Linked DNA regions of Macaca mulatta. The protein of the gene in region 1 interacts with the protein of each later gene in a pairwise test. Links are inferred from orthologs where the notes say so. Each region holds a gene or a part of one and is shown in the gene's direction. Other genes may lie near its edges.

Region 1 (2,203 bases):
GAAACGTGTGCGGAGGAAGATTCGAAATAAAAGATCTGCTCAAGAGAGCCGCAGGAAAAAGAAGGTGTATGTTGGGGGTTTAGAGAGCAGGTATGAAAGGGAGAGGGACTCAGTTTTAAGTGTTAGGTTTTTGAAGGGAGGACACAGGCCATATCCCCATATCTTTGTTATTTCCCCCAGGGTCTTGAAATACACAGCCCAGAATATGGAGCTTCAGAACAAAGTACAGCTTCTGGAGGAACAGAATTTGTAAGTATCCCTCCAAACCATTCCCTTCCTACGCTCCTCATTTAATGTTTTCTCACTCTTTCCCCTGCCCTACACTTGATTTCTAACAGGGTGGCTGCCTTCACTAGGTCTCTGATTCTAAGAAGCTCACAGTAGTGGGGAATATATTTATAAGTAACTGAGAATAAGCTAAGTACCTAGAAAAAGAAAGGGGGTAAGAAAGACCTCATGGGCTTTCATAGGATTCTGGGGTTGGGTTGGGAAAGCATTCTAGGCAGAGAGAAAGCATCCTAGGCAAGAGGATTAGCCCAGCATAGTCCTCTTGGGCTGGAACACATGTGAGCTGGGACAGAAGGTAGAGAACGTAGAGAATGCCCGGTGAGGATTATGTGCATAGCTGATCAGACAATGGGGAACTACTGATGATATTTGCAAAGGAGGTTAAGTCCTGGAAGAGTTTGTTTTGTTTTGTTTTTGCTTTTTTTGTTTGTTTTAATGAGGAACTTCAGGCATTTTTTCCAGAGTGGAAGAAGTCGTTTGCAAAAATAGAATGAAAAGTAAGAGAGAGGATCCAGTGCAGAGATGGAGGAGGTGGCCTGAACAGGAGTTTCACTGTGTCTCAGGGTGCTAGGCCAGGGGATGCTCACCATTGGCCCCTCTCTTCCTCTAGGTCCCTTCTGCATCAACTGAGGAAACTCCAGGCCATGGTGATTGAGATATCAAACAAAACGAGCAGTAGCAGCACCTGCATCTTGGTGAGGATAGTGATGAGGGGAGAAATTCTTTTCTCAGTTGCTGGGGACAGTTGTGCAATCCAGAGCCCTTCTTCATCTCCTTTTTCCTCTGCTGTAGGTCCTACTAGTCTCCTTCTGCCTCCTCCTTGTACCTGCTATGTACTCCTCTGACACAAGGGGGAGCCTGCCAGCTGAGCATGGAGGTAAGAGGCTTAAGGATAGCTCTCAGACATGGGCAAGGGGAGAGGCCTGGGTTGGCCTCTGAAGATTCTTTGTCTCCTCAGTGTTGTCCCGCCAGCTTCGTGCCCTCCCCAGTGAGAACCCTTACCAGCTGGAGTTGCCTGCCCTGCAGTCAGAGGTGCCAAAAGACTGCACACACCAGTGGCTGGACAGCTCAGACCACGTACTCCAGGCCCCTGGCAACTCTTCCTGCCTACTGTACTACATGCCTCAGGCTCCCAGTGCAGAGCCTCCCCTGGAGTGGCCATTCCCTGACCTCTTCTCAGAGCCTCTCTGCCGAGGTCCCATCCTCCCCCTGCAGGCAAATCTCACAAGGAAGGGGGGATGGCTTCCTACCGGTAGCCCCTCTGTCATCTTGCAGGACAGATACTCAGGCTAGATATGAGGATATGTGGGGGGGGTCTCAGCAAGAGCTTGTGGGGCTCCCCATCTGTGTCCAAATAAAAAGGGGTGGGCGAGGGCTGGCTGCAGCTCCTATGCCCTATCAGGAGGACTGAGGGCTCAAACACACCACACTTACTGGCTTTCTGGGTCTTTTATTTGTACCCATGTGTCTCACCCCATGAATGTACCTGGGGAAATCAACTGACCTCCCTGAACATTTCATGCAGTGAGGGAACGGGTGAGGAAAGAAATAAATAAGTGATTCTAATGCTGCCTAGGTCACCCTCAACCCCCATTTACTGGCACAACTGGGTGGGGAGAAGGGAAGGGGTATGATTGTCCTGATGGCTCAGGGTTGCAGAAGGTTCAGAGGGGAAGGAGGAAAGGCCAGGCTGGAGGCTGGGCTATTAGTGCTTTCCTCCCACAGTTCAGACGGTTCACTCTGGGCTCACGTTTGCCATGGCTTCCTTTGGTCCAAACATAGGCCCTGTCCTTAGTCCTGTGCCCTGTTCGACTTTTGGCCTGGAGGCCTTTTTGTGCTGCTGCTGTTGCAGGGCTAGCTGCATGGCCCAGATGCTCAGTGGCCGCATGTAGGCCAGTGAGCGGAACACCCGCTG
Region 2 (3,756 bases), on another chromosome or scaffold:
AGTGGAGCTGATTTATATGCTTCTTGTTAATGATCTGGTCTTAATGTGTGTGTGTGTGTGTGTGTGTGTGTGTGTGTGTGTGTGTGTGTGTGTTGCGTGGAGGGTGAAAATGAGGAACAAGACTATTCGGAACAGAAGCTTGAGAGGTGAGGCCCTTGGCCCAATCCACGCTGTGCTTAACAAACATAATTCCATGCTAACTAAACCGGAAGTTCTGAACTATAGATAGGGTGTCAAGGAGATTGTGTGTGCGCAGGAATTTTGTGTGTGTGTGTGTAAGGCCCCTCCCCTCAAAGATAAATAATAATGGTCAACATTTATGAGTGCTTGCTGTGTCAATCACTGTTCTGAGTGCCTTGCTTACAGCAACCCTTGTAATCCTGGTAAAAACTATATTAGGAGGGTACAAATATTACACCACCTTTCCAGGCGAGGACATTGGCACAGAGAGATGAAGCCCGAGGTCTCACAGTGAGGAACGCCCTGGGTGGAGAATAACCCAGGTACACTGGTTTTAGAGTCCACTGTCCCCAGCACCACACAATACTGTCTCTGTGCCTGACTCTGGACTTGACGAGGAAGTGTGTTGGTGTATATTATTCACCTTCATATACTCAGAACCTAGCACCATGCTGGCACGAGGCATGGTTATTTCTTGATTGAATGAATGCACTTTTGCTAGACCGCGAGGACTGTGGCAAACCCCAACAACCAACAGTTCGTGGGCTTAGATCGCAAACTTTCCTCCGTTGGACGGTGCGGCCCGGCCCATCTTTTCCTTACCACAGCCCGACACCCAGGCAGCCCCTAAACGCAGATGGTCCGCATCTGCAGGCGCGGGGAAAGGCACAGCAGGCAGCGCCCTGAACAAACCAGAAAAACAGCCCTCGGCTCTAGAGCCCACTGCGAGCACGGCTTTAGGTGCTCTACCCGCTCCGGGGAGTGGCCGCCACTCACCGCTCGCCCCTCCTGTCGGCTCCGGTCGCTCCCGCCGCCCGAAGTCCGCTGCGCCCCGCCCAGTGGGTGGAGTGTGAGGCGGTGAGGTCGCTCGACCCTCCTTGCGCTGTGGCCTCCCTCGGAGCGGCTCAGACCTTCTCCGCCCGCCCATGGACCTGGCCCAACCCTCACCACCCGTAGACGAGCTGGAGCTCTCGGTGCTCGTGCGGCAGCCAAACGAGCACACGCCTCTCAATGGTGCCGTCAAGGTCTTCCCTTCTTTGGACGAGGAGGCCCCCCCGGCCGAGGTAAGGTCCCCTTGGCGCTGGCCCTAACCTGCCAGCGGCGGGACAGTAGTAGGACCCGGGCCTGGCACCCGCGAGTTTCGGGTTTCCAGCCAGGCGGGGCGTCGCCGGCGCCGAGCGAGGGTGGGGCGCGCTCGAGTGCTCTGAATGGAGCCGAGTAACCGCGACACCTTTCGGCCGGAGCAGTCCCCTCCCCAGCCCCTGGGGTCGTCCAACCCCTCCGACCCCCGAGGCGCTTTAGGAATCCTAGGGGTGAGGTGTGGCCGCTCCTGTCTTCAGATACTCCGGAGATAGAGGTAGTTTTTTAAAGTTATGTAACTTTTAATTCAGTTTTTCTTTTTTCCAGTAGGGAGAATGAGAATGACAGATGGAGTATCCTCCTTCTCTAAGAATCTCTTAAGCTTTCCCCTTACCTTCACTGCCTTGCCGCGTCTCTCCCTTGCCTCCACCCACCTCGCCGCAGCTCCCAGCCCTCTTCCATGCCTACCATCCGCCAAGCACTTTCTGCCTTCTCCCAGCCTGGCCGTTCGATTCTGCAGGAAGAGAGATAGGGGAGAGCACAGAGGAGAGAAAGCGGTCCGAAGGAGAAGGACTAGGGCTGGCGTGGGGATGGTGCGGGCGGGTCGGGGGGGCAGGTGGAGGTGAACTTGCCCTGCTCAATTGAAAGAAAATAAGTTCAAAGTTCTTGTCTCGAAGGATGAGACTTCGCCCACCTTGCTTTTACCTCCTCTCAATCCCTGGCAATTTTTAGGCCAAGCTCTTTTCTGCTTCAACCCTAGCAATGATGGCAACATTATTCGCTCTCATCAAAGACTTGTAAAACATCAGAGCTTTGACTTCCCAGCCATCCACCTTCTGATTAACTCTTAAGATTGGCTTGAGGTTTTCTGGGTACACAGAACTCCCCATATTGAGCCCCGACCTCATCTTTCTAGGCCCCACTCCTCCACCCCCAACTTTTTGGCTGCCCAGCTGTTGATTTTAGGGATAAGCAGGAAATTCAAAAGTTGAAAGCATTGCTTTTGCTCTACATTGATTCCTGGAACTATTGCAAAGTTTGCTTTTATAGGTACTCTGGAGAGTAATTTGGAAACTTCTTTCTGAATAAAATATGAATGCCACAGAAGAATGAAGGTTGAACAAAGACAGTCTGGTCACCAGTGCAAGTGGCCACAACTGTGAACTTGCTGTATGGGTCCTCCAGGACGGTGTCTGGGAATGGGAGTTGGAAATACTTGCCTCAGATTAGACAGACCCGGACACCCTAAAAACTCCCTAGCTTGGGACTAAATCCAGAGATCTGGTGACAGTTTCACCACTAAACAATGTGTCCCAGGGGCAAGGCTGTCCCGTAGTGGTAATGTGTGCCTACTCGGACTTCTGTGAGGCCCGGGAATGCCTTGTTGAAAACAGGTGATGGGTAGAACACGCCAAATCCATGCAGGGTTATCAGTATTCTGTAATTGTTTAGCACCTACCCTGTAGCAATGGTTGTTTCGTGTTCCCATGACGTCCTTGTTAGTAAGGTATGTACAGATACCCTAGACTTCTTTGTAAGTTAACTTTGTAGGTCACCCAATAGGAGAGCTGTCCTCAGTAACAGGATGGAGTGAAGGTGAAGGGCTACAGGAGCACTTGGAGTGTGTTCAAGGAATGCTTGGACTTTGTTAAAGGGAAATCTTTAACAAAGAAAAAAAAAGCATCACCTAATGTGATAATCATTCTTTTTTTTTTTCTATAAAATAAGGTGAAGTGTATTTCAGTTAGAAAAGTCAATAAATATAGGCTTATTAAAAAGATTCAGACAAGATTCAGACACTTAAGAATTTTGTGTGTTGGTCTCTTTGAACTGTATATTAAGATTTCTAATTTTGCAATGTAGCTGAAGTTCATGTATTTTCATTCACCCTGTTTAGTGACTGTCTTGTGACAAATACTTTTGATGCATAAATGCATTTAATTATCACAGCTAACTTAAGAGGAAGGCATCAGTATTCTGGTTTGTCAGATTAAAGATGCTGAGTGAAGAAATTGAGGGAGGCTCAGAGGAGTTACCAAAATGCTCATGTTCCCTCAGTGGTGCCTCTGAAGCTTGAACGTATGTTTTTTAGATCTCAAAACTATGCTGTTTCTGTTGATTTATTCTATCTATCTATCTATCTATCTATCTATCTATCTATCTATCATCTATCAGCATTTAATTTAAATATATGTCATATATAATTTATACTCATTTATTTATAGTTGCCTACATTATTAATTATTACTAATTTCTGTAAGGTAATTTATAATTAGGTAATTTAAGTGAGCTAGGAGTTGAGTGTCACATCTGGAATGATGGAGTTGCAGGTGGATGGGTGAGGAATCGGGAACAGTTCTGGAATGATTGGGAAGAAGACATCTCTCTTCTTCCTTGGAAGAGCTGTGATGGGAGAGTGAACAAAAGCAGTAGAAAGAACTTCTTTCCCTTTCTTGATGTGTGCTTGGCACTTGAGACAAAGGAATAGAAGCCGCT
Region 3 (3,656 bases), on another chromosome or scaffold:
TTTAAAAAATAAGCTTTTATTATTTGGAAATTATGAAATGTATTTTATTATGAAAATTTAAAACTAATTTATGAACAATGTTGTCATACCTCTGTGTATTGGAACTAATCTGTAGAATGTGAGCAACTTAAAATTTTCTATTCTTCTTACAGAGAGTGTATATGGTAGGGAAGGCAAACTCAGTGTTTGAAGACCTTTCAGTCACCTTACGCCAGCTCCGTAATCGCCTATTTCAAGAAAACTCTGTTCTAAGTTCACTCCCCCTCAATTCTCTGAGTAGGAACAATGAAGTAAGTGCAGTTATTCAATGAATATATGAATATCATTAATTTCCCTCTTTTTGAAAAATAGAGACAGGGTCTCACTCTGTTGAGTCCAGGCGAACTCCTGGCCTCAAGCAGTCCTGTCTCGGCCTCCCAAAGTGCTGGGATCACAGGCATGAGCCACTGCGTCTGGCCCTCCCATTCCTTATACTACTTGAAATTTTGGAAATTTTGATATTTTAGAAAATGAAAAATTGTGCACATTTACTGCTGGGGTAGATTCTTCTTTAATGTAATTTTCTTATGACTCTCATGAATAAACTGATCCTTTTTTGTGAGGGGAGCTATGGTAAATAACATCACATTTTAGCATGAGGGTTGCCACCTAGTAATTCAAACAAGCCAGAGGTCATAGATCTACTTGGTGACTGGTGGAGCTGTGTGGATCTGGTAACTTGGGAGCCATTGTTCACTGCTTCTGCTGATGTGCTGCCACATTTTTCTCATTCATTCTGGATATTGCAGTGGAGGGAGCCACCTCTGCTTTTGACTCCTGTCCTTCAGCTTCTCCATCTGCTCATGCACCCTCTTAACCATGTGGCATGCCACTTTTGTGGTGGCCTCCCCTCTTTAGTTGCTGTGGATGACCAGGGCCATCATCTTTTATTCTCTGATGTGGAAACTATTCAAGGGAAGTAAGCAAACTGGGCCAATGGTAGGATCTCATTGCAGAGTGCCAGGATATCCCGATGCTTTGAAGGAAAACCACTGGAGAACTTGAATGCTTTATCATGGTTTTGTCAAAAATATAGCTATTGAGTGGCGGTCACTGTACTAGGGAATGGCCATCACCTTTTTGTTAGGAAATAATGTTTTATGTGCATTTTCAATTGAAGCAAACATACCAAATGGAAGATAATTATATAAATTCACTTATATCATCATTTGTAATATCCCATGCCTTACTTGATAAATGGCAAATAAAGATCTCTGGTGCACATTTAAAAGAATGCTCTTTTTTTTGGGCTCTCTGAAGGTTGACCTGCTCTTTCTTTCTGAACTGCAAGTGCTACATGATATTTCAAGCTTGGTAAGTAGGCTGCTCTGATTTTTCAGTTCCATTTATTTTGGTTTCTAGAGAATCCTTGAATGATAGTAAAAGCAGTTGAAAAGTTTGATTAAGTATGCCTTAGATTTATGATCCCATGAAAATTGAAAACTTAGTGGCAGTATTGGGAATTTTGAATATATCCATGTTATAGTCAAATTATTTTGCATTTCTGCTTTTTAGGGAGAGACAGCATATCTTCCAAGAACACAAGCCTGGGCGTAAGAACACCCTGGCCATAGTCCTAACTTGGCTGTTGATTTCTTGTCAGACTTAATTCCTATCTATATCTTTGGGCCTAAAATAGAAATAATAGTTTGGACTAATAATGCTGTCAGTCAAGTCAAGAAGGGACAAAATCCGTCTGAAGGGTATTTTTTTGGTGAATGATTTTTAAAAAATCATCCTTGTTACTGAAATAGAAATTCTTACCTGTTTGTTGTCTTCTGAGGTTGTTTTCCAAACTTTTTCAACAGGTGTTGGTTTGGGGAGTCTGGAAGTGTAGTGCATTCCTGGGATCAAACTGGTCCAGCCATCTGTTCTTTCATACCAAGGCCCATACCTGAGTTTTTAAAACTGAGGAATTTTGTTGAAAGCTTTTATTAAATATCCAAGGAGTCTTGTACTGCTCCTAAACATGAGATTCGTGTTGGATTTATCAGAAACGCTTATTCAAACCAGTTTCTTTTGCCACCATTTTAGACTGTTTGCATGCTGTAGTACACTGGTATGGTTTAGTTTAGCCTAGTTTGGGCATAAAACTTTAACTGGCTGTGTTTGACATCTTTCATCTTACTTTATCCACTACCTTTTTTTGTTTGTTTGTTCTCCTAAGCTGTCTCGTCATAAGCATCTAGCCAAGGATCATTCTCCTGATTTGTATTCACTGGAGCTGGCAGGTTTGGATGAAATTGGGAAGCGTTACGGGGAAGACTCTGAACAATTCAGAGATGCTTCTAAGATCCTTGTTGACGCTTTGCAAAAGGTAAATATCAATGAGACATGAGAGGCTGGAGTATGACCATTTCACTTTTAGCCTCTTAATAGAAAAATCTGCTGTTTCAAACACTGTTGACTGAGCTCTTACTTGCCTTCTTTGGGGTTCCTCTAGTTATATTGGCCAAGGATGGAGTAGGGTCAAAAATGTATATTGATATATTTCTTCCTAATGCTAGAAAGAACAGCATTAGGAAAAGTTATCTCACACAAAGCTTTACAAAATTTTTGTGGTAAAATATATATAACATAAAATTACCATTTTAACCATTTTTAATTGTCCAGTTCAGTGTTATTAAGTACCAGTACATTCACATGTTGTACAACCATCACTATCTTTTATTTCTAGAACTTTTTCATCTTCCCCAACTGAAACTCTGTACCGCTTAAACACTATGAGATAACTGAAGTAGAACACCCAGCACAGTACCAGACACTTAGTAGATGCATAATAAATGCTAGTTCCCCTCTGCCCTTGAAGTTCTTCACCTGCATCCTTTCAGTGAGGCTTCACATTTTAATTTTTATAGATGTTTGTGATTAACCAGAGACCACTTAGGAAGATTTCTTCATTTCTCTTTCCAACTTTCCCTCCTCCAATTTATATGCTGACAAATTCAGTCTCTTAATTTTATTCTGAACATTTGAATATATGTTAAAGCTCAACACTTTTCTGTATAGTTGAGCATAATCAAAACCTTTAATACTTGCTTATTTTAAGATGTAGTATATTTCATGAGCCAGGAGGTAAGTGTACATTGTTCTTGTAGCTGCACAAAAGCTTTAAAAATCATTTTAATAAGTATGTGTTTGACTCATTGCATAAAATGATAAGTAGTGAGGTAATGCATATGTTAATTAGCCAATGTGTACTTAAGCCATTTCACAATGTGTACATATTTCAAAACAATATGTTGATGTGATAAATATATATGATTTTAATTTGTTAATTAAAAATGAGAAAAGTACATATTTGAGATTCCCAATAACGTTAATAACTAACTTTCAGTTTGCAGATGACATGTACAATCTTTATGGTGGGAATGCAGTGGTAGAGTTAGTCACTGTCAAGTCATTTGACACCTCCCTTGTTAGGAAGACAAGGACTATCCTTGAGGCAAAACAAGCGGTGAGTATATTTTGAGATCCTGCTTTAAAACTGTAAAATTAACTTTTTATAAAAACAAAAACATACAAAGTCCTATATCACCTATGGGTGACATGAATGAGCAGTCAGTAAATCTGAAAAACAATTTCAGTTAAAACATAAGCTTCTTGTTCACATACGT

What was found.
Region 2: the proteins of CREB3 (region 1) and C2H3orf52 interact in a two-hybrid assay, tested with the Homo sapiens proteins (2 studies listed by BioGRID and IntAct). The two-hybrid records come from large-scale screens. The link is inferred for Macaca mulatta from reciprocal best matches to the Homo sapiens genes CREB3 and C3orf52.
Region 3: the proteins of CREB3 (region 1) and ATP6AP2 interact in a two-hybrid assay, tested with the Homo sapiens proteins (2 studies listed by BioGRID and IntAct). The two-hybrid records come from large-scale screens. The link is inferred for Macaca mulatta from reciprocal best matches to the Homo sapiens genes CREB3 and ATP6AP2.

Annotation. Positions count from the first base shown.
Region 1 is NC_133420.1:63,959,785-63,961,987, reverse strand, and holds the end of CREB3 (cyclic AMP-responsive element-binding protein 3), read left to right. Parts: coding exon 1-90; intron 91-180; coding exon 181-249; intron 250-898; coding exon 899-983; intron 984-1,080; coding exon 1,081-1,165; intron 1,166-1,246; coding exon 1,247-1,581; 3' UTR 1,582-1,603; downstream 1,604-2,203. Other genes in the region: GBA2 (non-lysosomal glucosylceramidase), read right to left, coding at 2,024-2,203. UniProt on the Homo sapiens protein: Endoplasmic reticulum (ER)-bound sequence-specific transcription factor that directly binds DNA and activates transcription. Plays a role in the unfolded protein response (UPR), promoting cell survival versus ER stress-induced apoptotic cell death.
Region 2 is NC_133407.1:171,557,975-171,561,730, reverse strand, and holds the start of C2H3orf52 (TPA-induced transmembrane protein), read left to right. Parts: upstream 1-926; 5' UTR 927-1,106; coding exon 1,107-1,244; intron 1,245-3,756. UniProt on the Homo sapiens protein: Has a role in LIPH-mediated synthesis of 2-acyl lysophosphatidic acid (LPA). LPA is a bioactive lipid mediator involved in different biological processes, and necessary to promote hair formation and growth.
Region 3 is NC_133426.1:40,475,675-40,479,330, forward strand, and holds part of ATP6AP2 (renin receptor precursor), read left to right. Parts: intron 1-152; coding exon 153-290; intron 291-1,299; coding exon 1,300-1,353; intron 1,354-2,206; coding exon 2,207-2,356; intron 2,357-3,376; coding exon 3,377-3,496; intron 3,497-3,656. UniProt on the Homo sapiens protein: Multifunctional protein which functions as a renin, prorenin cellular receptor and is involved in the assembly of the lysosomal proton-transporting V-type ATPase (V-ATPase) and the acidification of the endo-lysosomal system.